Linked DNA regions of Rhinolophus ferrumequinum. The protein of the gene in region 2 interacts with the protein of the main gene of each other region in a pairwise test. Links are inferred from orthologs where the notes say so. Each region holds a gene or a part of one and is shown on either strand. Other genes may lie near its edges. The genes, in order: FAM200C and METTL21A.

The links.
Region 1: the proteins of METTL21A (region 2) and FAM200C interact in binary tests that used the Homo sapiens proteins (3 or more experiments, as listed by UniProt). The two-hybrid records come from large-scale screens. The link is inferred for Rhinolophus ferrumequinum from reciprocal best matches to the Homo sapiens genes METTL21A and FAM200C.

Annotation. Positions count from the first base shown.
Region 1 is NC_046307.1:29,706,016-29,722,244, forward strand, and holds FAM200C (protein ZBED8), read right to left. Parts: upstream 6,063-16,229; 5' UTR 5,656-6,062; intron 2,550-5,655; 5' UTR 2,502-2,549; coding exon 717-2,501; 3' UTR 521-716; downstream 1-520. Other genes in the region: pre-mRNA-splicing factor SLU7, read right to left, coding at 8,885-9,064, 9,726-9,842, 9,954-10,025, 10,178-10,282, 11,483-11,644, 12,473-12,612, 12,754-12,821, 13,000-13,097 and 5 more.
Region 2 is NC_046291.1:25,020,612-25,036,686, reverse strand, and holds the start of METTL21A (protein N-lysine methyltransferase METTL21A), read right to left. Parts: upstream 5,923-16,075; 5' UTR 5,304-5,922; intron 5,263-5,303; exon of another isoform or gene 5,017-5,262; intron 5,001-5,016; exon of another isoform or gene 4,906-5,000; intron 4,637-4,905; exon of another isoform or gene 4,546-4,636; intron 4,105-4,545; 5' UTR 4,073-4,104; coding exon 3,926-4,072; intron 2,411-3,925; coding exon 2,299-2,410; intron 1-2,298. UniProt on the Homo sapiens protein: Protein-lysine methyltransferase that selectively trimethylates residues in heat shock protein 70 (HSP70) family members. Contributes to the in vivo trimethylation of Lys residues in HSPA1 and HSPA8.

The DNA.
Region 1 (16,229 bases), on a different chromosome or scaffold from region 2:
GCAAACCTGCTACATCAGAATCTCTCGGGTAAGGCTCTGGGATCTCCTTTTTAGCAGCCTTTGTGACTTGGGAGTTGTGATGTAATTTAAAAGAAGACAAGGAGTGACTAATAGGTTATTAGGATATTTATTGTCATGGTACTTAGAGCATGGTATCTAGAAGAATGGACATTGTGAGACTAACTCCAAAGAATACATTTAAAAATAAATCTGATATAAACTAGCATCATCCCTTCTCCCACTAGAACATTTCATAATCCTCTTCTGATTTCATTAACCTACCCATAACAACACTCACAGAAATGGGAAGATTCAGTCTGTCATTTCGTCTTTTGACTTATACTCTTAACATGAAGATCCACGTTCTGGGAGGTCTTCTCTTTTTTTCTTGGCTCCATTCCTAGCCTACCGCACCATTTACCTGCATATTCTAGTGCCTGGGTGTCTTTTTGATGTATCACATCAACAGGTTAAACAGATACTTAGAAGAATCCTATGTACTAACTAGGCAGTGGTACACAATCTGTTCTGCTGCTTGTGCTCTTAAAATATATTTTCACATGATTCATGAGAAAATTAAAAGTTAAAGATGCTAAATTTTTGAAACATAGGATTTAGTATACCATAAATATAAAAGGAAAGAGATAGAATAGCTTAGTTTTACAATGGAAGGAATTGAGACTATTAAAAATTATACATTACAAAAGTGTATCAGCTTACAGTGACTTCTGCTGTAGCTGTAGTTTTTGTTCAATGATGTCTGAGAAACGAGGAACTTTTTTTGAAATAGCCACACGGATGTCATCACTCACATTAAAGCAGCTTCTGGACTTTGTTTTAAAATGTAAAAGTGATGAAAATCCCAATTCACAAAGGTATGTTGTTGCAAATGGTATAAGGATTTCCAGAGCTGTCTTTGCCAGGTTTGGAAACACTGTGAATTGGACACACCAGAAATCCTCAAGTTTCATTGTCTCAAACTCCATTAAAATTTGGCCACTAGCTCGTAATTCAGCAAGATCATTTTTCATTAAATAACCATCATCAACAAAATCCAGATTAAAAAGAAATGGATCCAGTATCCATTTACTTGCCTCATCAAGATCTCCAACGGAAAAATAGCCGTGGAAGAAGTTGCTCAGCTGTTGCAAATGCAGTGTTATTTCAGCTGCAATATTTTCTGCTTCATTATCGGAAACAATTATTTCTTCAAGAAAAGGAAAGTTGGTAAAATTTCTTTTCTCAATTCGCTTTAGCCAAAATGGAAACTTCCTAACAAAAGCAGATAACTTCTCTCTAGCGGACACGGTGTTCATCCCAGTCCTTTGCATAGATGCGCTAAGTTCATTTAGGTGTTTGAATAAGTCTGCAAGGTACGCTAGGTGAATTTTAAACTCTTTATTTTCAAAGCCATCAACTAAATTACTGCTTTGGTGGTGAAGAAACTGATTTATTTCTTCGTACATTTCAAAAACATGAGTAAGTATTTGGCCCCGGGAAAGCCATCTCATTTCAGTATGGAAAAGGAGGACACTATACTCTATTCCGATTTCTTCAAAAAAAGCCTGAAACAGGCGATGATTTGGAGCTCGCCCTTTGATGAAATTTATTACCCTGATGACAGTAAACAGAGCATCCCTTAGCTCTGTAGGCAATGTCTTTGTGACAAGTTCGTGAGGGTTCAACAAACAATGTGTGATCACAATATGTGGTACCTCTTTTTTCACACAAGCAACAAATTCTGAATTTTCTCCCAGCATAGAAGAGGCACCATCGGTACAAACAGAGCCACATACATCTAGTGCTATCTGATGCTTCAGAAAGAAGTCTCTGAAGAGATTGAACACATCTTTTCCTTTTGTTGTTGGCTGCAATGGTTCACAGAATAGGAATTCTTCTATGATCTCTCTTTCTTTTATGTATCGCACAAATGCCATGAGCTGACTGCAGTCACCCATGTCAGTTGTCTCAGCAAGCTGAATACCCACTTGAAGAGGACTGGCTCTGATATCTTCTAGAATTTGCTGTAAGATATCCTTGCTCATTTCATCAATTCTAGAATGGATCACGTCATCTGATAAGGGTACCTGCTGGAGTTTCTTTTGTGCATCTGGTCCCAAAACTATCTGTGCTATTTCCAATGCACAAGGTTTTACTAATTTTTCAGCTATCGTATGAGGATTCTTCTCTTTGGCACATAAATATGCAAATTGATACGATGCTTGTAATAAGGCATCCTCTTGAGATGCAACTCCAAATGCTTTCAAGGTGTCACTCTGATCAGATGGTGTTGGCATATGCTTCAGGCTATTGAGGTCATGCCCACCTATACCACCGTGCTGTCTGTTAAAATGGTCAGACAGTTTTGAGGGTCTGAGGTCAGCATTTGAAAATATCGAGTTACACAATACACATTGTGGGCGCTGAGTTCCATCAACCTCTGTTGTACAGGTGAACCAGTAACGAACATAGTCATCATCCCATTTGCGTTTCTTCGACATGGCACCCCAAAATTCTCAGCAGTATTCCAGAGATGCCGCAGAATTTTGCTTTGGGAGTAAAATATAACCCACACATTAAAAATCAGTGGCTAACCAAATTAAAACAAAGCCACATCACATGCCATCCTGTCATCTGTGTTCATGTCAAGAAATATCCTGTAAGATGCCTGTTCAAAGAAAGCCATGCCAGCATGACAGTCTAACTTAAAGCCAGCAACTCACAGCTAATGCCCTGGAATACATGACTTGCCAGCAAGTTACATATAGAAGATTTGGGCTTATGCAAGTTGTGAATACCCGTAAATCCTCTACTGGTGAATTACAGTTATGGCTTAATTTGTTTTCAAAGATGTATGTTCCAAACAGATCTGGTACATTTTGTATCCCCAGAAAGGGCATCTCAGTACCACTCCCTCCTTCCATCCTGTGCCAATGCTTCCATTCTGTGCCAATGTATGCACACCCCTTGTTATGAAGCACTGAACAGAAAAAGAAATACTTCACTACATACTCTAAGGAAGGGCAGATAGTTTGATAGGGTGGCCAGTTCTTTTTAATAGTTAAGAATTAAATAGATCTGTAAAACGATTTGATCCTAGAGTGGCTTTGTTTGACTCCAACTTAAGCAGGGAATTTCAAACAGGTTTGATTAAGGCACTCTTGACATAGAAGTAGGACACAAATTTGGCTCAGAGCTTTCTGCCACTATCAGTCCATGATCATACTGTCCATATAGAAAAGGAAAAACCAGTTGCTCAGGAGAAACTACTATTCTTGTTACTGAGATTTCAGGAAATTTTCTCTCATAAAGGACACCTTAATTACAACAGAAATTTCATGATGCTTTTTCATATAGCTACCCCTCAGTAAAAGCAGTCACGGGAGAAGCCGAAACAACAAAATGAAAATTAAGCAGTGTTCCTAAGATTTGGCTTAATCCAAGGACTGGATGTATAATAGAAGGCAGTGGTTTTTTACTTGAGTAAATGGAGGAATCATCTAAGTCTCTTGCTAAAATGCATATTCCTGGGCCCTACCCCCAGAGATTCTGATTCCCTAGCTTTGGAGCAGGGGCCCAGAAGCTGTATTCTAAATAAGCATTTTAGATAATTCTTATGACTGGTAACTAGAACAGTAATCTTTAACAAGAGATGCCCATCACAATCACCAGGTACCCCTTTGAAAGCATACATGCCCCTGTACTACTGTAGAACTAATAATTTATCGCCAGTAGGACAAAAGAATCAGAAATAAAGTTGTCCAGGTGATTCTGATACACATCGTAGTAGATAGTCAGATTGAGAGGAATGACAACATATCCTTCAGGTCAATTCCTATCTTGCAGATATTCTAGGTTGCTAATAATCTAAATGCTTTAATAGGCATTTAAGTTTTCTGAGTTGATGACAACCTCCTAGGAAAGTTGAGGGGCCTCAAAAGAAAGCTATGCCTTTCCTCTTTTTCTTCCTCCTTAGCAATGAGCAACGGTATAATCCTAAAGTAGGCTCAAATATACCTGAGAAAACAATGCTATCTCCCAGATAAATAAATAAGTGATCTCCAAAGTTTCCAAAGTTCTAATGACACAGAATGTGGTTGAAATAACAGGGACACATTAAAATCCAAATGCCCACTTTGGCCAGGAAAAAAAAAAATCACAGTAAATCACAGTAAGTAAGCCAAGAATATTTACTTAAAGCACTAGATTTCTAGTGGCTCTGCCAAGATTAACAAACTGTAAAATGTACTTCTATGTAACTAGTCCGTTGACCTGCCATGTGGTTGTTTGTTATGAGCCAGGTGAAAATTAGAAGATGTCTGCCAGTCAAGAAAGATGATTTAAAGTTTAAAAGTTGAGCTTAAGCCTTCTTTTGTCAAATGATGAGACGAGAGGACCAGCAGTGTTTGGAACCTCTTCTAATTGATAACAATAAAATTATGACATCAACATAAAAAATGCTTATCTTTCTTATTCTGTTATGTATATTTACCATGTATGTTTTGGGGAACAGAGCTTTTTCCTTGAGTCTCATTACAAATTATAGGATCAGTTAAGAGTCCATTCCTACCCACCCCAACTATGCTACTTAAATATATTTTGACTGAAGATGTACCTGTTCTCAACCAAATCATTTTTAGAAAAATTCATTTATAGCATCCTTCTCCATCTCCCTCAGAGGATGAATAGGCAGCAAGAATTTTCAAGGTCTTCAAAGATGAATTTATCTACCAAGAGGCTTTCTTGTATTTTAGAACCTCACAATTTTCACTTTATGCTTTGTGGTATTTAGTGATCACAATATTAAAAAATATGTAAACATTAAAAAAGCATCATCACAGTAAGATATCATTGTTAATTTAAACAGGTATGATAATGGTATGGTTGTGTTTTTTTTTTAAGTCCTCATTTATTAGAAATACAGACTTAACTATTTACAAGTGAAATGATAAAATGTTGGGATTTCCTTTGAAATACTGTATACTTCACACACGCAAATACACACAAAGTGGGGTGGAGATAGAGGAAATAAGACTGGCTTTGAGATGTTAACTGTTGAAGATGAATGATGGGTACTTATCACTACACCATTCTATTTCTGTATGCTGGACATTTCCCCCTAATAAACAGTAAAATGAGCAAACAAAAAGCATTACCTGAAGATTGGTATAATTGTTATTTTTCAGAATAATTTTTTGAGAGATATCTTAAGATGCAGAATAAAAGATCTAACAAAGTAAAATGTTTTTGCAAATTTATGAAGTATAAGGGCAGATATGAAAAAGTATCACGATTGAGAGAAAAAAGGTTAGAGGTGAACATTTACATCACAAATATTTGGGGAATGCTAACACATAATTTTAGCAGTGACAACACCAAAGTGCAGTTGCAAAACCTAAAACTCCAACCAAACACAATTCCGCTTCTACCTAGCCACCGTTTAGGCCAGTCCACGGCAGGTGCAGGTGTCTGGAGAGGCAGAGGATTTAATCATTACATTTTACAGTTAAAAGTAACAGTCAGGAGAAAGGGACGGGAATGCAGTAGCTGAGTAAATGCTCCAGAGGCAAAAGCCTGGGATCCTGGCTTTGTCACTTCCAGACTGGGACCTTTCCAAGCCTCAATTCCTCAAATGGGGATGACAATAGTACCTACCTTATAGGGTTGTTGGGAGGTTTAATTATGAGCATGCATGTAAAGAACACGCAGCTCGCAACTGGTAGGAAGGACCTGTTGGTGTATTATTAAGGACGTTTAGGAGGCGGCCCGGGCGAGCAAAGGTCGCCGGCGGCGAGGAAAGACTCCACTCCGTCTCCAGCCTCCCGTCTCCGAGCAACGGCGCAGGCCCAAAGGATGCTCGGGCTTCTTTTAGGCGCCCGTTTCAGGCTCCAGTTCACTCTCCGCTCAGGTTGGGGCTTAGCTTTTGGACGCCGGAACCCGTCTAGGCAGTGGTTACTCAAGTGCGACCCCGGAGCAGGAACCTGCGGAGAGTGGTGACACAGAAGCGCCCGCAGCCACCTCCACCCCAGCCCCGCCGGGCTTCCATCCGGGTTCTCCCAGTGGCTTCCCGCCCGCAGACTGGGCGAGGCGTCTCCCCGCACGCAGGCGCATTAGCTGAGGGGGGGGGGGGGGGCGGCTGGCTTGAGAAGGGAGCATGCGTGCTGGCCCTCTGCATTTTTAGATTGTGTACGTGGAGTTGAAATTTTTTTGTTGTGTCTGCCAGAAAGAATGGTGGAAAAATAGAATCTAAGGAATAGAAAGCATTGTAAAGTCTACATAGTTCTTAAAAGCACTGGAAATAAGATTTTATATTGTGTCAGGCTTTAAGATTGAAGGTTGTAAAGCTATAATAATTTACCATTTTCTATGTGGTCTCAGCGAGGAAATGGAAGATGATTGCACTCGCAACTTAAACACTGAGGCAAATGGTACAGTCTGTAAGGTACAGTGGAAGATGTGCTTCCAGGGCTTGTGTCCTGTTGCCTATTTAGGTCACCCTCTCCCATAAATTAGATCAAGTGGATGAATTTCCTGAGAATCATCATCCATCTTAAAGATTTTTATTTAAAAAAATTTTTTTTAACAGGATCTTATAGTAATAAACCCAGAGTAGAGAGATTTGAGAGATAAACCCCAAAGGAGAAACTAGAAAATATTGTTGAAAAAAACAAGCCCAAATATAGCCCTCTTTCCTATTTGGGGGGTATTTTCTTCCAAAATAGACACTTAAGGAAATGCTATTTTATTCATTTTTGAATAGTTGTTCTTGTCAGAATCATTCCACAAGACCGGGAGAGGAGGAAGTGCTCAAGAATGTGAGACAGGTGAATCATTTTCTGGTGTTGAAAGGTGACCTTGGTAAAGATTGAGGGTCTGCTTAAGGTTTCTGTCAATGGAAGAAATTGCAGAAGATCAGCCTTCCTGGCCCAGGAACCAGGGCCTTAAATACTAGAGAAAGGAGTAGGCTTTAAAGTCAGAGATACTTGGCTTTGTGTCCTGGCCCCAACACTTTGAACTGTTAGGCCTTGAGCAAAGTACTTGGGCTCATTATGCCCACATGCTTATTATAAAATAGGGTTATCATCCATTACTCACCCCATGGAGTTCTTTTGAGGAGGTAACATATGAAAATTACAGCACATAGTTCCAGCACTCAAAAGGCAGCTATTATTATTGGTAAGTAAAATCAAAGCACACTGTCTGGAGTAATGTTCTGGGTACTACCTTTCTTCCAAATTGAAACAGAAATAAGATGTGATTTCAGACATTACAGAATTCTTCCTAAAATCAGAATAAATTAGGTTTTACAGAAGAGGAGCAGAGGCCCAGAAAGGATAGGTGACACATTTTTTGAGTTAAAAGACCCTGAAAATTTCTGATTCAAACTCACACAAGCTAATCCTAGCTCCATTTTCTGTCAAATATTTGAAATAATGCTACAAACCACGCATAGTTTTCTCAATTATATATCTTTATTAACAAAAGATAAATATACAAAACAAACACCAATTGCAGACATTATGTAGAATCATCCTATGTTAAAGTAGGAATATGAAAACATAAACTTTTAACAATCTTCAAGTGGGTGAGATTTACATTGCTGTTTTAATTTCATACCAGTCTGAATCTAGATACCATGTATACCCATAGTACTTGACAATCTGATTCAGTTACTCTCCCACCAGAACTATTTTTGAGATGCTAACTTAATGTAGCATTCTAACGGTTTTTGGTAGCTCAGAAAATTCAATGAGCTATCAACAATGTACTCATGTCAGAGCTTTTTAACTGGTTGTTTACACAGATTCCGCTCTCACTGTCAGTGTTATTTTCACACTGTTCTTAGAAGAGGCCTGAGGATCATGGCAGTCTCAGTTCCTGGTAGCCCTAACAAGCTATCCTTATAATTCTTCGAAGAAACCTTCAACTCCACGTTTTGCTTTTTGCACATTACATAAAGTGACACCTGCTGGCTACAAAGATTAGGTACAAGGGATATTCTATAAGCTTTTAAAATCAAATTTAATATTTGCAATTATTATAGAAAGGCAATCAGAACTGAAACAAAAAATAGTATCACTAATCATATCCTCTAGAATAAAGGATTTGTGTCTAAAGGCTCATGACCAGAATGGTAAAAGACGATGTGCTGATAGGTAAACACTGATTCATGAATGACAAAAGTTATTTTTCCACTCAAAGACTAACAATTTAGTTCTGGGTGTAAAATATGAGGACATATTTTACAAATCAAAAGTTTATAAATAAGTGAAAAACAAAATTACCACCACGCAAGACAGTTATTCATGTGTTCTACAAATTTCCTTTCAGATTGAATTTTTTTAGCTGCAGACCAGGAAAACCTTAAAAGGCAAAAACGAATGACAATAAAATAACTACACATAGTTACTACTAATTAGAAAAAATTGAAGCCCTGGTTTTGAGAAAGAGTAGTTAATCTCCCTTTAAAGTATGTGCAAACACTAGATAAAGGGACATAGAAATTGAAGAAATATAGTTTGAGATTTAATTGTTGAGTCAGAGTGCGGGGGGGAGGGAGATAAGGTGGGAGGGTGGGGGGGAGAAAGACAGAGGGGGGGAGGGAGGGAGAGAAGGGGGGGGAGAGAGAATGCGCAAGCAAGTCAGGGCCTCTTTCCCTATCACGAACATAAAATTGGAAATAAAATCTTATTCTGTATTTAATGTAGCTCCTCTTTTTCTTCTGTTTCTTCAGTATAGAAAGGAATGAATTTACTATGAGACTTCTGGAAGCTTTATTAAAATCTGCTTGCGGATACTGATTTTTCCACCTACAATCAGCAAGAAGCTAAAAAGAGTATCACATCAGCTGTTTTTATCTTGGGTGACCGTCTGTGACTAGTTACTACTGTCCAAGGAAAGAGGCCATTGGGTCATCGGGCCTCTGACGTTTCATTCTATAGGCCTCCATTTCCTCCTCAGTGGGTTCCCGAGTTTCATATATGCTATTGTAAGGCCGCTTCCTCTCATCAATCTGCAAGAGCTCCTTGACATGAAGAAGGCGGGCCTCCTCCGCATTCAGTGCCTATAGAGAGAGGAAAAACAGGAGAACCGTGGCTCTCCATCAGTTCGCTTTTGTTCCAAAGGGGCAGAATATCAAAACACTCTACTGAATAGGCACTGCCACATCAAAATTCTAGACTGCCTAAAAGAGCTTGGGAGTCAGCCCTTACACCTGTTAAGCGGCAATTACTATTTGGCTCATATGATTATTTTTACAGAGCACAAAACATTCTATTTCAATGTTAAAGCACTTTTGCTTAATTGCAAAAATTGAATGACGGTCATTTTACCGACAGAAGCCCACAAGTGACGCTTCTGGTAGAGACCGGAATTCTGACTTTTCCTAAGGACTTGCTGAAACTTACAGACTATAGAGCTAGAAGGCAATTCTTTCTGGACAACATAATTTCAATAACTCTGAAATTACAGCTTTACAAAGCACATTTCTTCTGTGCATTCATGATATTTGTCAAATATTCTACGAAGCAGGCAATACTGAGACACATAAAATCTCCATTCGCATTCTAGATGTGATACAAGGTGACCTGAGCAAATGACCCAGAATGGGGCCTTGTTTCCTCATTTTTAAAATGAGCTGGGAGCTAGAACTAGATAATTTCCTAAGGTCCGCCACCAATAAAGAATACTGTTGTCACTTTCACTATTTAGACTTCACAAAGTACCTTTTTCAGTTTTTCATGTTTCTTTTCTTCGTCATCACTTTCTGAACTGCTCTTTCTATGCTTCTTCTTCTTCTTCTTCTTTTTCTTTTTATCCTCTTTTAGTTTCTCCTGATGTATCTGACAGGGAGGATTGAAACATAGTGTTATTGTGAAAACAATGCTCTAGTGCAAGTTTTAAAGTCCTTCCTCTGGGATTTAAAAATTCAGGACAAATGATTATAGACTTACCTCCATGAGGGTCTGAGGTTTTTTCACAGATTCTTCTCCAGTTATTTCATTTACAGTACATTCCTCTGAATTCTGTAGGAAAACATGTAACTGGACTTGAGTATCATAGTTACCAACCATCTAAGAAAATGTTAAAATTTGAAACATGAGAAAGCATGTTTCATACAGATTTTGAGTTAAGAGCTGTGTTTAATAGGTCTAAGAGCTAGAAAACAATTACTTACAACAATCTCCTTCCCAGCTTCTCCAGTACAATAGGAATACTTGATAAAAGAGTGACAGCATTTGTATCCCCATCGGCCTTCTTTCCAGTAAGATCCCCAGATATGCTGGAGAGAGAGAGAGATTACTTAAAATGCAACCTGAACTAGGGCTAATTGTAGGGCTAGCTAATAGGGAAAGGCCGGCCAGACCTCAAGTATAAGAAGCAGGCATTACAGTTACAGTGATCTTATATTCTATTTCTAACATGTATAAAATAATTTAGGATACGTGTCTTCTCTTGAAAAATTAAGGACTAGGAAATTCTGTGCTCACATTCCCACTTGGCAAGACAGGGTTTTTGTTCTACAGTTTATACAATTTTCCTGGATCACTTCACTCATGTATGTTTACTGCCCTGGCTCCTATAGGTAGTTATGCTTTTAACCCCTAACTTAGAGAGACAACTGGTTATTTCAATAATACAGTAAGTGACAATTATATGCTTTATGATGTGATACAATATGAAGTACTCTGCATCACCTTTGAAGTGCTGTCAAAATATTTAACAAATTAACAAAATATTTAACAATTAAGCCTTTAGATCCTTTGGATCTGAATTCCTGTTTATCAAAATACAAGGGAAAGAAGAATAAGTTATATGATAGCTCTAGAAACCAGTCAACTACAGAATATGAGCCAGTTTATAAGATAACTGGCCTGATCTATTAAATAGTCACTGTCATGAAAATAGGAGAGCTACACTCTAGATAAAAGAGACATAACAACCAAATAACAATCAAAATACACTTTGACTCAAAAACAAAAAACAAAACTCCAAATAGCTATTTAAAGGCATTTGGGGATGTATTTTGGAAAATGAGATTAAGGACTAGAGATTAGATGCTGCTAAGGAGTTACTGTCAATTTCCTGAAGTGCGATAAACGCAATGTAGGTACAAAAGAGAATATCCTTCATTTTAGGAAATACACGATATAGTGCTTATTGGTGAAACGTCCTATCTGTAATTTCCAAATGTTTCAATCAAAAAAATAATGTAAAAAGTATGTATACACAGAAATATGTATTTCAGCATGCATACATGCACACATATCTAGATAAAGCATATACGGCAACACGTAAAAAATTTCTAAATCTAGTGTTGGGTATGTGGGTGAACATTCTTTTACATTTTTTCTATTTTTGGAAACATTTCACAAAACAAACTTAAAAGGTAAGAGAAAAGAAAAGCACAGCCATGACTCAATAATGACGTTATAACATGAAACTGTAATATAGAGCAAAATGGCTCTGATGCAGCACATACCGTGTGGTTGTGGATCTTCACGTCTTCCTCATACTTGGAGCAGGCGACCGCCCGCTCCTGCCCTTTAATGACAGTCCCATGTCTGGAGTACTCCACATAATCTTCTGTCTGAGCTAGAAGCAATTCGGCTGGAGGGGCATCCAAATGTTCCTGGCCCCCATACTATTATAAAAAGACAGTGAACGTTATTAAATCCACTTTACAACAAAGATGTGCACTCAAACCTCTACTGAAGGATTTATTTCCAATCAAAAAGATTAAAGAAATATTCTTTATGGACCTTGTTATGTAAGACACAGTGAAAAAAAAAATGCCACCAAATAAAAGATGTCTCAGTTGCCACTAATTTGTTGCAGGTGGCCATACGTTCCTCTTATCCTTGTACTTGTGCCCATTTGCCACATGACTTTGCTGCTCCTCCCTTCGAGAGTGAGTCTGCGTCTCCATTCCTTGAATCTGGGGTTGTCCATGTTACTTGTGCTGGCCTATGGGAAACTGGCAAGTGTGACCCCAGCAAAGGACCGGAAAGCACTTGCGGGCCTTTTTCCTGGGGCATACTTTTTGTTACTAGTCTCTGGTATCCCGAGAATGCCATGGAAAGAAGCTGGGCGAGCCTACTAGAGGATGAGTGCCCAGCATGGGAAGCGATGAGCTGTTCCAGAGGACGCCCTCGTAGGACAATCAGCCTAGTAACTGTTAGACCAGAGTCAGGACATCTTAGATCCTCCAGCCTCAGATAAGCAGGCCCAGATCAGGAGACCCAATTGACAAATAGAATAATGAGTAAAAAGAAATGTTTCGCAAGTTATTAAGTTTTGGGGTGGTTTGTTTTGCTGCAAAAGCTTAGAAATACAGCTATATTATTACTGTTTGCCCATGGATTAAGTCAATAAGAGGAAAGGACTATTCCCAAAGGACTAAAAGGGACTCTGTGTATGTTGTATTTCAACTGTAAGGAATGTTCTTCTTTAGCATTTTGGTCAAAATTACCTTTTCCAAGATGCTTTCTTTCTGCTGTTCCTTGAAGTCTTCCTTTTTGACTTTGAAGGACTTATACAATAGCTCTAGTTTTGTAGGATCGGCCTGCAGATGTACTTCAGATCCCTTGTCGTAGGCTTCCCATGCAAACACTGTGGCAATGAAAAACATCTTCATGAGCAGTCAGCTACATTTACTGCTCTAGTTTTTAAACAATGCCCCCAAATTTCTTTTTCCCCCCAAATTTCTTATGAGTTGATATAAAATGCCTTGACAATACAACAAACACTTACACTGCGTCTGAGCCATCGAAATGGTATCACCTGTGTATCTAACAAAGTTATCTCCCGCGTAGCTCACTCTGTAAATACAAATTGAAAAAAGAATTGTTTCAGAGGTTGATTTTTTTTTAAGGATAGTTAATTCTTCTCTGACCGAGCCATAGATGATGTGTATTTTAATTCAGATTCAGTTTTACAATTAAAAGCTGCCCTCACCCCCGCCAATCTTGAAATCTGTACATTTAACTCAATACTTACTCATCTGGATTCTTTCCTGCATTGGCATAGGGATTTTCTCTCATCGCTCTCGTTTTGGGATCATAGTAAGCAGAATTTGGATCTAAATTCCTCAAATACTAGAACAGAAAGATGTTTAAGGACTGCATTAATGTTTACTTCCATCTAAAAAAGTTTCAGCAGACTAGGAGTTGACCATAATCAATTTAACGTGTGAATGCATCCTGGGACACAGATGAAGAGAAAAAAACCAGAAGGTACCTAATTTGGGAATGACTATGTTACCCACCTACTGCCCAGATACTAAACAACTAGGTGAAATTTAGGTTGGGAAGTATTTTTTGAACGTGTACGTTAAGTTGGCCAGGCTTACTTTTGCAATATCTTCTCGAATCCTGAGATTCCGAACAGTAATCCGTCTCTTAGAGTCAAAGTTCTGTCCAGGCATGTCAATATCATCTGCATACTTATCTTCATCCTCATCTTCACTATTGTGATCTTTTTCCTGAAAGAGGAAGAGGGGAAAAATGAGCAAGAAAAAAAGAACAGCATCTAGTTTTTCTTTTCCTTTCATTCCCCTTTAATCATACCCTCATTCACTTGTATTATTTAAAGCTATTATTATTATTTATTAATATAATTAGTAATAATAATAATATATTATTATCATATTAGCCATCAGAAGTTGAAAATTTCAATGTATACCCAGATAAGGCAAATATTTATTACCATCTGAGAATTTGGTTCCTCTTCTCCCCACTGGTGTTTTGGAGAATTCTGCATCATGACAGAAGGAAAAAAAAAAATTGTCATTTTATTCTACTACATCTACTGATTATTTAACACTTTAAAAACATAGTTAAGATAATATACCAAATCTAATTGAACAAATTCTCGTATTTCTCACTTATAATGAGCATATAAGTTCTGAATACAAGTATGTCATTGTTAAATAGTTAATTTTATTAGATGCCAGAAAATTTCTAGAGAATTTTTAGATATAGGATCATAATCACATAAAGGTAATAGAAAGATTAAATGACCAATGTACCCAATAAATATTCAATTTCATATATGTTCATTTTAGGCATACCATTTTCATTAACCCTCACTAGTTTTCTCAAGTCCAAAGATATACCAGAAAAAAAAAGATATAACAGAAGATACATAAAATGAATTCTTGTTTCAGTTTTTAGTTTTTGTTTACTAAGATTTGACATTTTAAAATAGATCATTCTATTACTTACAGCCTGTTCTACTAATTTTCCTGAGGCTAATTCTTCTTGGAGTTTCTGGGCTTTCAGTGTTCGTTTTGCCTAACAAAAAAAGAAACATTTGAGATTTATTAACAACATTCAAATAAACATTTAATTATTGTAGTGCATTTAAAATGACTAAGTTTGGGGCAGCTGGGTGGCTCAGTTGTTTAGAGCACGAGCTCTGAACAGGGTTGCCAGTTCGATTCCCACATGGGCCAGTGAGCTGCGCCCTCCACAACCCACGACTAGACTTTGATCGAAGACAATTAGATTGAAGACAACGAGCTGCTGCTGAGCTTCCGGAGGGGTGGCCGGATGGCTCGGTTGGTTAGAGCGCGTGCTCTCAACAACAAGGTTGCCGGTTCAATTCCCGCATGGGATGGTGGGCTGCACGCCCTGCAACTAAAGATTAAAGACTGAAAACCGCAACCGGACTTGGAACTGAGCTGCACCCTCCACAACTAGACTGAAGGACAATGACTTGGAGCTGATGGGCCCTGGAGAAACACACTGTTCCCCAATATTCCCCAATAAAAAATTAGGAAAAAAAAAAGACTAAATTTGTTTTCAGAAAAGGTCACTGGACAAGGTCATCTCTTTGCGGTTTCTTGTAGCTCTAGACCTATGGCTGTCTAAAAAACAAGGAGTTACAAACTCTTGTTTGAACCAGGCATTAATGGAAAATGAGTCAGACAGCACTGGTGAAAAACTGTAGAGAGCAAGCCCTGTGCAAAAGGGGCCGTTGCCACCTGACTCCAGATGACTGACGCTTGCCAGGCAGGCCCAGGATTACAATATATTTCACTGTTTAAGAAAAGATGAAATTCAGATTAAGTGGAATCCAATGATTTTTAAATGTTAACTTCCCTTTAGGAAAAAAAAAAGGGCAGTGTGACTGCGGTTTTTAAGGAATGGAGTGAGCAGGTAAAATTGTAACAGAAAAAAGTTGAGGCAGAATTAAGACACCATTCTTTTTTTCTGAAACAAGTTATCCTCGTCCCCTGCTACCACCCTAACATGCTCTGAGACGACTGTCAAATAGGCTCATGGGCAGGATCCAGTCTGGGAATCAAGTTTATAACCTCAGAAAGCCAGGGGTTTGGACACTAACCTGTTCTCATGCTTCTAGTAATTTTTGCAACCTAAATCAAAGAGTGAAGGACAATACAAGAATCAATTTAAAAAAATGCTGCCAAATAGGGCTAGCACACTGGTTATTTTCACTATTCAATTAGGATTACTACTGCTACTACAATAAAAATGCCCAGTTTTAAACTGCTTGAAGACTCAGAAAATAGAGTTACCACATTAGACATAGAGCAAAATATCCATTCTTTAAGGATAGTAGGAAGGCAGGGAATTTTGCTCACCAGATCAACTTTGGCATATTCTTCTACGATTTTCATGTGTTCTTCTGGATTGTAGCCATTCCACCGGTCCCTCTTCCCATCATAGTCAAAGGTCAGCTGAGGCTGGACATGTTCGTCTGGAGCTATATTAGTTCCTGTAAATTTTGCTCCAACTCGTCTGGGTCTCTGGAAAACACATTAAAAATTTTCCTAAGTATCTGTAACCCAGAGGAAAATTTCATATAATCTTTACAGAGCAGGTGTGGACATACCATAGGACTTTATGGTCTATTCAATAAAATTATCAGTTCGTCTTCCAGCAGAAAAATTTGGTGATGTTGAACTAATTTCACTCAAATTAATTTTAATTTAACTTGTACCTAAGTACAGATAATTTTAGAAAAATAGGGTTAAGTTTTCTGACAAGAAATGAAGACAGAAAGACTCTCCGACAACAGTTTCCAAAATTCTCAAAGGTGAATTTACCTCAAAGCAGTCTTTCTTTTTGTGTGTCATGGCCCCACAATTTTCACATGCTCCTTTGCGGTACTTAGTAGTTATGGAATTCTATAAATGGATATAAAGAAAAATAAGGAAAATATTTTATTTACCTGGCTCTCATTATTATATTGTCTAGTGAAAT
Region 2 (16,075 bases):
CCAACAGTGCAATAGCTATGAAAACCAAAGAGGCTGAAGGATCAGGCAAAACAAGATTGCAGAGCCTTCCTAAGAAGCCTGGGATTTAGTCTTTAGGAAGTGGGGGGCAGGGGGGCCGAGATGTTTAAGTATGGGTAACCCATCACTTTTGCATTTCAGATGAGCCAATCTGACAGTTAGTAGGTGTTCCCTGAATTCAGGATGAAAAGCCTCGGGTTACAAAAAATGAAAATACTTGACATGAATAATGAGAATCTTTAGTGGGTTTTTTCCCCTCTTTTTAAAAGAGTGCTTTTAGGGCTATTGTTATAATAGTTACATGACTTTTATAACAGAAACATTTCTTTTCATGATTTTCTAGTGTGTTCCTCTCTTACTCCAGAACTATTTATCTCCTGTGTGGCAGGTGCTGTACTAGGGCCAAGGACACACAAAATGAAGCACAGTCCCTTTGCTCGGGAACCAGGAGAGACAGACACGGGAAACACCTGCCGATAATGAAATGTGACTGTGCTGGGACAGAGGTAGGGAGTATACCAAGTGCTGTGGGGAAAAGACGTAAGGCAGCAATTAATTTTGCTTTGGGGCAGGAAAGAACTCAAACAAGTAACGTGAAGTGGGGCCGGGAAGCACACATCTCCCTATGGCGAGAACACTGTCTGCTGTTCTAGGCCCTCCCAGAACCACCCGGGGCCTTTTGTGACAATGGCTAACCAGCCTATCGCTCTATGCTAGTGTTTGAAGAGCCTTATCTTGACTTCCGCAACCCCACAGATCCAGATTTCTAGAGCAGAAACAGAAATACTCGGAGAGGCAATCAACATTCACTGAGCCTTTACTTTGAGCCAGTCGATGAGCCAGCAGATTTCGACACACGATCTCATTTGATCCTCAGTGTGGAATGAATACAATTATTTCCTCAATTTATAGGGAAACTGAAGTTCAGAAGTTAAGCAACTTTTGCCCAAGGTCACACAGCTAGTAGGAATTAAAAGACGTGCGAAAACCAAGTATAACTCTAAACCTCTGCACTTGACCACACGAACCTGTTGCTGTTCCAGCCAAAGAAGTTGTACATGAAGCCCTAGTTCTCAGGAGTAAACAAAAGAAACCTCATTTCCCCTCCCAGTTAACCCCTCTCATAAGCAGAAGGAAGTTAGTGTCGTGGCAAGAAAATAACTTGGGCTGCTGTGTCTGACAAGGCTGGTTTGAGTCTTAAGCTTCTGATGATCAGGACTTCAGAGAGTGGCTCAATCTCCAGGATTTGAAAAATGGAAAAGAAAAAGAATACCGAACACACATGGGGACGCGATCAGACTAACCCGAGGGGAACAAAAGGCAGTGCAGCAGCAAAGGCCTTACCAGCGAACAAAGCGCTGTGGCTGTAGACAGACAGAAACCGAAATCGGTTTATATATCCTTTTATCCACCACCCCTGCCCATGTTCCCATCAAATTTTGGAAGGCAAATCTACACAGAGAAAGGAATACTGGAAAAGAAATAAGTTAGGGAAAGGGCAGAAATAAGTTAGGTGTTCGCATCATCATCGCTTGGGCCTTGCAGAAATACAGGCTCTCAGGCCCTGCCCACACCTTTGGAATCAGAAACTGCATTTTACTAAGAGCCCTAAGTGACAAGTGGTGAATATTATATGTGGAATCTTAGAAGCTGATCTGTCCTCTCATTGGCTAGTTCAAACTGCATGAGCTGGAAATTGTACAAAGGAGTCAATAAACAATAATCAAATAATAATGAGGCTTAAAAAATATGCTAGGCCAAAATAATGTCTCTATACTAAACAAAAAAAAATTGACAAATCTTGATATTAATCAACTTATAACTATATACTGTTAAAACAATTTTTTAATATGTCAGTACCAACTGTAGCAGGGCTGACCCTTCCTAGAAGAGAAAAACCAGCAGTTTCCTTAGCAATGAAGGAAAGAGACTGTCTGCTCTACCTACCTCACAGGGTTAAATCCGCAGAAAGGACCTAAAGTATAAAAAAAAAAAACTATGTATGTGAATAAGATAATTCTCTTTGAACTTCAAAGTAGCCTTCAGATCATATTATCCGCACCTTAAAATTGAAAGGGGCAAAGCAATCTCCCATGAGAAGTATAAGTAACAGGATAAGAAAGAGAGAAGAAATTAGCCTTACTAGAGTTAGCCCGTACCTCATAATAACTACAGGGGAAAGAAAAACAATACAGTAATGGGTTTGACATCAAGAAAACAGCAAATGTACCTCTCGATGAGTCCCACTCACAAAGGAGTGAATGAATGTGTCACACTCACCCAGCAGGGCCGCCACTATGCCCACCAGCCCTGTGCCAGCACCCAGCTCCACGGCAGAGCGGCCCCTGAGCTCCACAGCTCCCATCTCCAAGTACGTGCAAAGAACGACAGCCTGAGTCAAAACACAGTGTAATTACGATTAAGGTGCTTTAGGAGCTGAAGGGGTTTAAGCTGGTAGGAAGTCATCACACAACCCTTTCCCACTTTGAATCAACGTTCAATTCCCAGTTTAACAACACTCCCAGGAACTCAGTTGTTGCTGGGAGGTAACGTCCTAGAGCAAGCACAGACACGGCATCCCAGCATCCCACAGAACAGCTGCCCCAGGCCACACTAATGCCCTGACGGGAACAGCAGTGGCCAGTGACACTGCCCACATGAGACAGGGTCCTGCTGAATCTGGGAAATTTAATTTCTTACTGTCACAGCACCGCTCCACTCGAGGCTTACAAAACTCCTCTGGCAGAACTGACATGAACAGTCTTGGATTTTGCTTATGAGAATGTCCAGTTCCTGAACCAAGCCCAAGTCAGCAAGGCCACAACTTCCCCCCGAGGGAACAAGCAGAGCAACACCCGAGGCTCCTGGAGCTGTGTTCCTCCCTCCTGCATCGCTGACGGTCATCACCCCACAGGGGCCCTCACCGTATATTATCCGGCATCAGAAGGTAAGTTTTAGCCAACGTTTGGGATACGTGTGAGTTAGCATTTGCATACAAATCTATTAAAGCATTGTATACTGTTAACATAATTTTTAAATACAGTTTTTCATGGCCACATACTATTAGTATAACTAACAATTCCTCTTCTTGGTGGACATTTTGGAGGTTCACCCATTCCTCACCATTATGCATCTTTATTTCTTGGTCTGGGAATAGTTTTCATGTGGTATTACTAGAAGTGATATTACTGGGTGAGAATATATTGATTTTTATTCCTCAATGGTTCTCTAACTTCTAAGACAATGCAGACTGTAAAATTGTATCTACACCAAGCATTTTCCCAACGTTCATTGAGCTGCCACTGAATCCCAGTTTGGTACTAGATTCTGATGGCAAGTCACTGTCACAAGAATGCAGGGAGAAGAAAAAGTGAAAAAGCAATTATAGTATCATTTTGTGACCATTACAACTATGAAAACTTAAAGAAAACACATGATCTTCATTTTGGGTTCTGTCATTTTACAATATTCTTTTTGCAATATTTTAAAAATTAAACTTAAAAATTAACTTAATGAGTGTACAAAGCGGTTAAGGTTTCCCGTCCTCCCTCTCACCTGCTGGGGAAATTACTGGCAAGTCACTTAATTTCCCTTAGCTTTCCTCTACTCACCCTTAAAATGCAACCTATGTGGGGGGAGTTGGGGCAGGGAAGTGATTCTAATGGGTGGAAGTTTTTTTTGGAGGGGGTAGGGTGAAGACAATGTTTTAAAATTGAGAGTGGTAATGGTTGCACCACTCTGAATTTACTTTTAAAAAAGCACTTACCTGTATTTATAATATACACTTGAGATAAGTGGTGTATGGTATATGAATTATATCTCAATAAAGCTATTTTATTTTTTTAAATAAAGATCAGCCTTGTAATCAATTGTAGATGTTTTCAGAGGCCCCCCAGGGCTTACTTACCGCGTCCCAAACCACGGCTGCGACTCCCAGCTGCCTCCAGTCCTGTTGGATCTGGATCGTGTGGTTTGCAAAGGCGAAGGTGGCAAGAGGCTTGTGGAATCGCTGCAACCCCACTACCGCGGTCTCGTCATAGGGCACCAGGGCCATTTCGACTGCGGTAGCTCTCTGTTCCCTTAAACCTGTTGGGCAAAAGATGCCTGCGTGACGCTCTGGCTAGAAAATGCATTAACGATTAAGTGGCCCCAAATGCTTTCTAAGTTCGTTTAACAAGTTCAAAAGAAGAGGTGGGGGGAAACGTTTGTCTAATTCATTCTCCATGGCCCTTCCTCCGAGTTTTCTGAGAAGTGAAATTTGGCTCTGAATTCATGCTAAAGGATGTCTTTGGGCAAAAGCACCCAGAACGGTACACACTTCGCTGTTAGAAGTCCGTGAATTCAGAGCCGCGCTAAGGGTGAGCGAGGCGGCGCTGCCAGCCCTGGGCCCGGGGGAAAGGAGAGCTTTCTAAACCGCCCAGGCCTGCAGCTGGAACGCGCTGCAGTCCGCAGGGTACTTTTTGTTTGGGTCTTGCCTCCACCCCTCCAAAGCGGTGCGTTCGCCAAGTGACAGGCATGGACCCGAACCTGCACTTAGACTGAGTGTTAACGGCTCGATTGTCCTTCCTTTTGACGCCAGCTGGATATATACGGTCGACGCAGTTCCATCTCCTAGAGGCTGGAAGTGAAAAGACACTCATGGATTCCGAGTCGCTCGCAGAGAGAGCGGGAGCGCGGGTCCGGGACGGACTCGGGCATCCACCGCTGGGAGGCCTCTCCAGAGTACCCCACACGTGTCTCCGTCTGCCCCTCTAAAGGGTCGATAGGTACGCGCTTCCTTCCCGCGGGTCCCAGAGCTCTAGGAACCGGCGGGGCTGGGAATGGGAGAAGGGGGAGGGGTCCACAGGGTCCTTGGGGCCCCCCTAACCGCGCAAGACGCCCACCCACCCCAGGAGTGACGGGATCTGTCCTGCGCAGGGCAGAGGGTGCACCCAGGCCGCCCCCGAAGCGGAGCCTGCGACACACTGAGGCCCGAGGCGCGGCCCCACCGCTACTTACGGCTCGGGAGGAGGCCCCGGCGTGGCGCGCGCTGCGCCTTCCCCGCCCAGAGGCCGGCTGCGGAAACGACCAGCCTTAAAGGGCCGGGGGGACAGGGGACCGGCCGGGCCCGCGCGGGGCGGTGCCGACCGGAGGAGGACGTGTGCGCCCCCGACGGCCAGCGTTTTCGGTTTCCGCCACCACCCTGCCCCCGGGACAGGTGTTCCGCGAGCGCTGGGGGCGCGGCGCTGACGCACGTGCTGGGAGGGGCCGAGAGGGGGGACGTTGCGTGGGGTATCGACCCTTATCCACGTGGATCCACAAGGCATTCTGGCTGCCACATCAGCTTCCCCTGCCGCCGAGAGCGGCGTTGGCTGGAGATCGAGGTGCGGAGCAGCGCGCAGGTGCGCAGAGGGATTAGGGTGCTCTGGCGACCGGTAAAGGGAAACCACCAACCTGGTACTGGCTGTGCCCTGGTACTGGTGCCGCTTATGTATGCGCTGGTTCTCGCGCGCACGCGTTTTGTTTTTTGTACTTGTGGCCTTGCTTATTTTTAATTTTAAAGGTGGCAGTTAGCAGGTGTAGGCGAAAGCTGGCTGCGAAGAATACGTGGTCACCCATTCGTCCTCGCATCACCAAAGCGAGGTCAGAAGCGGTGTAATTGTCCGCTTGGTGGCAATACAGTGGGAAAGTGACAAAGCCCTTAACTAGAGCGCAAACGTGGAGCCAGCACGTGGCGCCCGGGCCTGGATTGTAAAACTTGGGGGCGGGGCCCGGGGCGTGAGGTCGGCCCCGACCCTGGCCCTGGCGGTTGCTGCAGACCCAAGGCTTAGTCTTCCTCCTCTTGGGGCTGACGGTTAGCGCCCCTGCCCTGGGCACACCCATTCTTGCCGTGAAAGCTGTTGACAGCGTGGCACCCAGGCCGCGTGCCCTTGGAAAGCGTGCGGCTGCAGTGAGCACTCAAGAGTTAGACCACCCGGAGGGCAGCATCCTTCTTTTCTTTTTTTGCTTTGACCCTGACCTCCACCCCCTTACCCCACCCTGCCGCTGCTCTCTCTCGGTGGATCTCAGCCCCGGCTGCACGTTAGAATGAACGCGAGCGCTTTTGAACTCCTGGTACCCTGCTACGGGAAAGTCTTAGTTGGTGTGCGTTGGGGCCCAGCATTGGTGTTTTAGACCTTCCCTGGTGATTCCCGCCAGCGGTCACCAGTGGGAAGCTCCGGCCAGGCCTGAAGCCCCCTCTCTCCTTGCCTCTCCCATCCCGCAGGGGACGTGCCAGGCCTCTGTCTCCAACTGAAGGCTGAGGCCTGGGGGCACAAAGGTGACTGGAAGTGAACTTTGAAAGTCGCCAGTGAAGGTCTTTTCCTGTTTTGTTTTGTTTTGTTTTGTTTTTGCTTTGCTCAGTTTATTTTTCTTTTTATGTGATTGATAGAGTATTTTTGAGAGCAGCTTTAATTTCACAAATTGGAGAGAAGGTACAGAGATTTCTCAGACACTCCCTGGCCACACACATGCACAGCCTCCCCCATTATCAACGTCACTCACCAGAGTAGTACATTTGTTACAGTTGATGAAACTACACTGATATGTCATAATCACCCAAAGACCGTAGTTTACTTAGTTTACGTCGTAGTTGTACATTTTGAGTTTGGACAAATGTGTAATGACGTATCCACCATTATGTTATGCAAAACAGTTTCACTGCCCTAAAAATCCTCTGTGCTCTGCCTATTCATTTCTCTCTCTTCCCTAAACCCTAGCAACCACTGATCTTTTTACTTTTTCCATAGTTTTGCCTTTTCCAGAATGTCATATAACTGGAATCATACAGTTTGTAGCCTTTTCAGACTGGCTTCTTTTCCTTAGGAGTATGCATTTAAGGTTTCATAGTTTGTTAGCTCATTTCTTTTTAGTACTGAGTAACATACCATTGTGTGGATGTACCACAGTTTATCCATTTACCTACTAAAGAACATTTGGTTGCTTCCCAGTTTTGGCAATTATGAATAAAGCTCTTATAAACATCCATGTGCAGGCTTTTGTGTGACCGTAAGTTTTCAACACCTTTGAGTAGATACTAAGGAGTGTGATTGCTGGATCATGTGATAGGAGTATTTTTAGTTTTGTAAGAAACAGCCAAACTGCCTTCCAAAGTGTCTGTACCATTTTGCATCCCCACCAGTAATGAACGAGAGTTTCTGTTGCTCTGCATCCTCACCAGCAGTTGCTGTTGCAGTGTTTTGGATTTTGGCCACTTTAACAGGCCTGTTGTGGTATCTCATTGTTGTTTTAATGTGCATTTCCCTAGTGACATACGATGTGGAGCATTTTTTCTCCCCGCGTTATTGAGATGTAATTCATATTGAATATTGCCTTAGTTTAAGGTGAACAACATAATGATTTGATATGTGTATATACCGCAAAATGATCGCCACTGTGAGTTAACATTCATCACCTCACATAGTTTGTTTCCTTGTGATGAGAAGTTTTAAAATCTGTTCTCTTAGCAAATGTCAAATATCCAATCCAGCATTGTTAACTAGTGTCACCACTCTATACATTATATCCCCAGAACTTATAACTGGAAGTTTGTACCTTTTGATTGCCTGCACTCATTGCCCTCACCTGCCACCCTCCACCTCTGGCAACTACAGATCTGTGCTCTGTTTCTATGTGTTTGGGTGTGTTTTTGTTTTTGTTTTAGATTCCTCATTTCAGTGAAATCGTACCATATTTGTCTTTCTCTGTCTGACTTACTTTACTTAGTGTGGTGCCCTGAAGGTCATCCATGTTTTCACAAAGGGTAGGATCTCCTTTTTTATAGCTGAATAATATTCGCACGTGTGTGTGTGTCGCACACATAACATTTTCTTCATCCATTCATCTGTTAATGGAACTTACGTTGTTTTCATGTCTTGGCTATTGCGAATAACACTGCAATGAACATGGGGTTGCATATATCTCTTCAAGATAGTGATTTCATTTCCTTTGGATAGGTACCCAGAATGGGATTTCTGGGTCTCATTTTTTAAGGTACCTCCATACTGTTGTACCAATTTACATTCCCACGAATAGTACACAAAGATTTCCTTTTCTCCACATCCTTGGCAACACTTGTGATTGCTCATCTTTTTGATAATAGCCATTCTAACAGGTGTGAGGTGATATCTCATTGTGGTTTTGATTTGCATTTCCCTGATGATTAGTGATGTTGAGCACCTCTTCAGGTACCTGTGTTGTGAACCTGTCAAGCACCATTTCATGTACTGAATGGTTTGGACCATTTAAAAATCTGATTGTTTTCTTATTGTTGAATTTTAAGAGTTCTTTTTTATTTTGGGTAGCAGTCTTTATCAGATGTGTATTTTGGAAACATTTTCTCCCAGTCTGTGGCTTGTTTTTTGTCTATTCTTTCATCAGTGCCACATATAGCTTTATAATTTTATAGTAAGTTACTGTAACTTTATATTAAGTCTGAACTCAGGTAGTGTCAGTCCTCCAACTTTATTCTTCTCATTCAATTTTTTTTTTTTTTTGGTGGTGGTGGTCTTCTCTTCCTTTCCTTTTTTCTCTTCTAGTGTCTCCTTACTCTCTCAACCTTCTCTGCCTCTCTGTGCTGTTTCTCCCGCTCAGCTTTCCTTCTCTAAAACCCTCTCCTCTCCTTATTTTCTCTTTCCCTCTCATTGTCCCTTTCCTTTGGGGAGCCATTCTGGGGCATAAGAAAAAATATGTGCTTTGGAGCCAAAGAAACTGTGAAAATTTAAATTCTGTCTCTGACACTTTAATTGGGATGACCTTGAATAATCAGTAAATCTTCCTAGATCCCAGGCCCCTCATCCATGAAGCCTGGCATAGAGATTCTGCACCCCTTTCCCCGGTCCTCCTCCCCATTCTCCATTTTTTTCTGCTGAAATCATCCATGGGACTTTACAAAACAAAACCTACCCAACTTCTCCAGCACCCCATGCACATAGGACATTTGCCTTACAGTTTATCTAGAAAGTTGTCATTTACTTTCTGTCAGCCATAAGAGACAACAATGTTTTTTAGCCCTACCAATGTTCTAATTGGTACCAATTGGCTCAGGAAGCACCAAAAAGAATATTTAGAAACGTATGCATCTTGTATAGCAGTGTAGACATTTAAGTGGAGCTCTGGTTTTTTATTTGTTTACTTGGTTGGTTTTTGTTCTTTGTCTTTTTTAACTTCTCTTTATTTTTAAGTGTGCTTTTCCAGGACCCATCAGCTCCAAGTCAAGTAGTTGTTCCAGTCTCGTTGTGGAAGGTGCAGCTCACAGTGGCCCATGTGGGGATCGAACTGGCAACCTTGTTGTTAAGAGCACTGAGCTCTAACCATCTGAACTAACTGGCCACCCACCCCCAGTGGAGCTCTGTTTTTATCAAAATAAACCAAAACAGCCAGTGGTTCACTGTGAATACTGGAAAATAAGTTTTTAATCCTCGATTGAGTTGGGTATGTGATAGCTTATATTATTTTAAATACCCAGTCTAACTTCTGCAGGCCTGCCCTGTGTCCCTTCCTGAGGAAGGGATGTCTCCCTGCCCTGTTGAAGTCAGGTGTGGCCATGTGACTTTCTCTGGCCAATGGAATGTGAGGTGTCTTGCATAGCTCACCTGAGGTGTCATTGCTCCTTTCTCCTGCCCATGACCTGCATGTCCCAGGTTGGGGTGCTCCCCAACCCCGGGTCACCAGCTGGAGCAGAGCCACTGCTGACCTGTGAAATGTGTGAAACATCAGAGAAAAATAAACCTCCGTTGAAGTAACTATTGAGATCTGGGGGTCGTTACAGAATGATTCAGCAGAAGCTGACAGAACACAGGTGTGAAAGACGGAAATCTCAAATATTAGGTAGTCGTTTTTAGGATGGACGGCTTAGTTTAGCTTCTCAGTGAAGGGGCTCCTTCTCTGGAGCTCTGCCTAGCTCAGGACTCCTTATTCGCCCTACGCCTGGACCCCCCGGTGTCAGCATCAGCCTAAGACTACTGACCACTTTTATCCAACTGTGATTCTAAGACTTGAAGACAATTCTTCTGGCAGTTTTGCTGAGCATGTGAAAAAGGGTAGATTCACTCTCTGCATTATCTGTAATTCCAAAGTGTAGAGCAATCGTAATATACCGCTCTACATGTGCTTTTTCCTTTAACAAGGGGAACTGGGCTTCTTTTTCTGGCCCTCTCCTGGACCCAGACAACTAAAAACAGGACAGGTGTGGTCATCTCCTCCAGCCCAGTGGGTTCCCTGCGCACCTGCAGGCTGTGGGAGTCTCTGTGCCCACTCTGCCCCTTGCGGGGAGCAGCATTTAGGGTGGAGATAGAATACACAGAAGCACTCCTGAAGCCTTTGGCTGATAGCTTTTTATTTTTAGCCCCGTGACTGAAAGTGCCTTTCCCCAATCATATGACACCTCACCAGAGCATAATGGTAGAAGGGTGCTTATTCTGTCCCACCGTTTTCTGAAACTAGTCCGTGTATGAGGTCACAGGAGAAGCAGCCACCAGGCTGGGTAAATAATTTTCTCTGCAGAATGAGTGGCTATGTTTATCTGTTGTTATTATTATCTTTATTAGTCCAGCATCCATTTCCCATTTGCTGGTAGCCGTTCTCTTCTGCTAAGGGTCAGGAGCCCCGCTTCTGGAGCCCAAGAGGTTAGGTCGTATCCCAGTTCTGCAGCTTACTAGCTGTGTGTCCTTGTGGGTAAGATGCATTCACCTGTGCCTCAATTTGTCCATCTATAAAAAGGGGATATTCTGCTGATTGCATTAGTAAACAAAAAAGATAGTAAAGTGAGGTTAAAATGAGTTAACGTATCTAAAGTGCTTAAAACAGCGCCTAGCGCACAGTAAGGATCATGTAGCATATGATATGTTTGGGGTGGGATGGACCTTCGCTCTGGCTCCAGGACCAGGCACATGTCCCAGGCCTGGCCAATGAGTATTTCCTTCTATCTGGCCATGGGTGGTTCAGAAGCGGGCATATGACCAAAGCTGGGCTTACCCACCACCCATCCTGAGACTTGCTGGGACTCTCAGAGAACCAGAGAATTGGGGATGGATAGAAGCTAGAGTTCCTATCGGTCATCTGGTCCCAAGTGGGCTGAACCAGTAGAGAATGGAGCCCATGCAGGTGCTAGTGGAGAGAGAGGCTGCCTCCTACGGTGCCATGTGACCACCTGGACACAGCTGGCTGGGAATTTTTAGTTATTTGAGCCATTAAATTCCCTAATTAGCTTAAGCCAGTTTGCGCTGCTCTTATTGTCCCCTGCAGAAGAAACGCAATTCTGATTCATTCAGTCTGGGCTTAAACAAAGGAGATATAAAGTCACACGTATGGGGAGCCATCGTCCTTGGAGAAGCCAGCCTGCAGAGGACAGCCGGGGGAGGGGGGCCAGGCTTCCTGATGGCTCGCTTGTCCTGAGCCTTTCCTGGCTGCACCTGGGCTCTCGGGGCCTGGGGGATACCAGTGTAACCTGATAATAAATTTTCCGTTCTTGCTTAAGCCGGCTTGAGTGCCTGACACATGCAACCAGAATCCCAATGGATAGTATATTTCTGTTGTTTGTTTTTCGGAAGTAATGTAGACAAAACACACATATTCTGTAAGGTCCTCAAATACAATTGGGTGATGGCTAACTTGCCAAACAACAAATATGATCCTAATAGAGGAATGTGTGTTTGAAAGACAAGGTTCCTCTCCACACTCACTTTCAGCAGACGACCAGACTTAGCACAGACCTTGATCAATGTTGGCGGAATGAAAGCCTGATCCCTGGCTGCATCTCTCCTGTCCATTCCAGGATGAGAAGGTAGCCCCTCCCTGTCCCCCAGCACTACTGCCCTGGGAGTTCTGTCCCCTCCCCCATCCCGAGGAGGCTCGCTCCCCAAGTTCTTCCATCAGCGGCTTCTCCTTTTTCTCTTTAAACAAGTCCAAGGAGTCGGGATTCGAAGAGCGATGCAGGCTTGCTGCCTCTGGGTCCTCACTGCTCGGTCCTCTGCCTGCAGTCGGCCTCCTGCTCTCTGGCCCTCCTGAGATGCTCTCAGAGATACTTGTGGCCAATGCCAGGTCTTGCCTCTGTCCCGGACACCACACTTCACTATGGCGTTGAACTGAGAGGCCCTTCTGTCCGGGGGCCTTCCTTCCTGGGATGTCGGGGCATTTGTCTCTGGTCTCGCCCCCCACTCACCACCTCCACTCTGCCTCTACGAGGAGGCTCCTCAGGCTGCTGCAGCTTCTCTGCAAGCTGGCCTTTTCTTCCTACACTTTCACCTATTGAGCAGCTTTACTGTAACTTCAGGTTCAAAGTCTTCACAAGGACACTTCCACACAAGTCCCGCGCTCCGCTCAGCAGCCCCAGCAGTGCAGTGGAAGAGTAGGGAGCTGGAGATGGCAAGATTGGAACTCCCGTCCCGGTTCTGCTGCTCCCTAATCGTGCGACCTCGGGCACGTCACTACAACTCCTTGAACTTTGCTGTCCTTACCTGTCAGTGGGGTTGGAACCGAGCTACCAGTTTCACTCTTTGCTGTGTCCTTTCCTAGCCGTATGACCTTGACCGGTGAATCAGCATTTCTGGGCCTCATTTTCCTCATCTGCAAAGTGGGGATCTTACCATGACCCTGCCGGCTCGATGTCTGAAGGAAGGTGGTGACCACACACTCAGTGCTGAAACCAGTGCCTGGCATGCAGGAAACACATTTACTGAAAATTTACTGTTACTTATTTCCGCACTGGTGTCTGTTGCCCCAACTTTTTCCTAGGATTTGTAACCTTCCTGCCTTTCAGTGCCCACACTTGTGAATCTGTTCAGTCACTGCTCCTGTAATCCCAGGTGTCTGTGGTGACCAGAGTGTCTGCAAGGGACTGGCCCTGGCGGTCGGTGCGCACCCCGAGAAGAAGCCCTTTACTCAGTCTTCTCCCTGACCTTCTCCGCAACCTGAGCTGCTTGCTGTGGACAGTCTGCCTCAGACCTGAGGACGCTGAGAAGGGCGCCCGTCATTTCTGTGCTTCGGTTCGTTGGTCTGAACTTGAAGACACATAGTGAGTAGCGGGGTCTTACTATTCCTCCCGAATCCTTCTTTCCTCGTCTGAGGTAAGCCCTGTGTCCCCCGACTGGCCACCTGTCTCCTGTCCACCCCCAGCGTCACACACCGGACATCATGCTGGTGGTTAGAACACCACTGCTCGGCTGCTCCTCAGCGCGCACCCCTGCAGCCACCTCCTGGGTCAGCACTTGGCCTTTGCCAGGTGATCCCTCTGCCCCGCCCCCAAAAGCCCACCGCCGTCACTTCTCCAGCACGTGATCTTTAGAGCTGTGCGTTTCACGGGCTCCCCGTGGCCGACAAGTTTTTTGCATCAAATTCAAAGAATTAATTATTTTTTCTTTATACCCTGCCTTGTTTCAGAAAATATTTAAGGCAGTATCCCATTATTGGTTTTTTGTTTGTTTGTTTGTTTGTTTGTTTAAGATTCTCCATGATCTCACTACAAAACAGACCTTCAAACTAGTTTTAGAACCTGGACCAAATAATTAGCTCAGTTTGTTTAGGTTGTTCCTTTGTTGGATGGTGATCTCTCTAGGGGACGTCTACTCTGTGCCTGATATTGTTTAGCCATCGCTTAGCCACTGCTAAGCCATGGTCTGGGCCCTACTCTCAGGATCTTAGGTTCACCTGGGGCTCCAGTCCAGAAAATCAGTGCCTTAGTTTCCTAGGGCTGCCATAACAAAGAACCACAAATTGGGTGTCTTATAATAAAAAACAAATGTATTCTCATTCTGGAGGCTAGGAGTCTAAAATCAAGACGTAGGCAGGGTCATGCTCCCTCCAGAGATTCTAGGGAATAATGCTTCCTTGCCTCTTCCAGCTTGCGATAGCCATTGGCATTCCTTGACTTGTGCCAACATAATCCTAAATTCTGCCTCCATCTTCATGTGGCAGCCTTCTTCCTGTGTGTCCGTGTCTCCAAACCCCCCACTCTTTGTTAAGAATACTAATCATTGGACTTAGGGTCCATCCTAATCTGGTGTGACCTTTTTTTACTTGATGACATCTGTAAAGACCCTATTTCTAACTAAGGTCACTGTCACGGGTACCAGGGGTTAGGACTTCAACACATCTTTTGAAGGGACACAATTCAACCCATAGTAGTCAGCAACCAAAGCAGCAAGGACAAATGAAGCCAAAATTCGAATGAGAATACCTTTTAAAAAGAAACTAGGATTTGCTTAAAATGACAATTTTAAAGTAGAAACTGGTATAGGACAGCAGTTGAGAACACACGCCACTATCACAGCATATGAGCTTAACTCCTGCAAAGATCGATTTCTTCCCTTTTGTGAAAACAGAACAATAGTAATGCTTAGGTCAGTGGACGTCTGGGAGGTGGTGGTGGTAAATGAGCTAAAACATGCCCATTACCATGCATAACACGGGCACGTAGTAGTAGTTTCTTAGTAAGACTTACCTGTTATTAACTCAGTAGCAATAGTTGACCCTACTGGATTACTGTTTTTATCATTTAGAATCTTAGACTTTAAAAAAGCTAGACTGCTTTAAGTAAATTCATCATTATTAAGCCTTAAATCAGGCATAATTGTGCACTTGGGCAGACCTCATCTGTCATTTTGTAAATGGGCTACCTCGTATCCTTCCAGCTAAGGTTCTGTTAACGTAGCAAGGATTCTAAATATCAGGATATAGCAACATTGTATCCCCTTGCCCTCCACTTTCTGCCCACATGGCTTACCCTGTAAGTGAAGGTAAAATGGATTATAAGTATCAAGTTATTGTGACATTGTTTAGCCACTGCAGCGAACTGGAAGAGAGTGGCTACTTGATTTTATTTAAACTGAAATTTACCATAATGACAGCAGCATGAGACAACACACCAAGCCATCCGCCAAGTTCAAGAGCTATTTGTTTATACAGTATGCAATTAAGATGAGTTTTGTTACGAAGGAATTTTACTCACAGTGATTTTTCATTAATGTGGGCCGATGTAAATTGATTAGACTACTAATCTCCAAAAAGTAGACGCCTTCGCTGATCAAATGCTGTCGTGATAGCAAATTAGACACATTTTCCTATTGTTCTAGAGAAAAAATGGGAAAGGGACAGAAAATTCAGGAAATTTCTTTAAATGTACTGTTAATATTCCTTTGTTTGTTTTAGAATGCTCTATTCTAATCCAAGCTACTGTGGTTGATGTTTTCAATTAATCTTTTATTCAATGTTGTAATATAGATTAGTATTATGGTTGTGCTATAACCTCATTTTAAAGATAATGAAATTGAGACATAGGCATTTTTAAAAGACAGCTTTCACATGGAGACATCTAATTGCCATAAACTAGAGTTTAATCTGATCTCAGAAAACACATTGCCTTAAACTTCTAACCCAGCAATTCTCAAACTTTCTGATCTTGGGATCCTTAACACTTTTTAAAATTGTTGAGGATGCAGCCGCATCTACCGCATGGATGAACACCATTCTCAGCCATCAGACTGTGAACGTTCCAGAAGGCGCGGACATCACTCTGAAGGGACCACGGGTATTGGGAAGGCCCCAGAGGTACCCTGCAAGGGACGTCAGTCACATCCGTGCAGAACTCAGTCTCCTTGGAAAGAAGAAGAAGAGGCTCCGGGTGACAAATGGTGGGGAGATAGAAAGGAACTGGCTACTGTTCGCACCATCTGTAGTCACGGACAGAACATGATAAGGGTGTTACCGGGGCGTCCGTTACAAGATGAGGTCTGTGTGTGCTCACTTCCCCATCAACGTTCTTATTCAGGAGAATGGTTCTCTTGTCGAAATCCGAAATTTCTTGGGTGCAAAATATATCCACAGGGTTCAGATGAGGTCAGGTATTGCTTATTCAGTATCTCAAGCCCAGAAAGATGAGTTAATTCTTAACACTGAACTTGTATCAAATTCAGCTGCTATGAATCCAACAGCCACAACAAGGATAAAGTTAGAAACAAGGATATCAGAAAATTTGGGGACGGTATGTATGTGTCTGAAAAAGGAATAGTACAGCAGGCTGATAAGATCTAAGATGTCCAGCTAT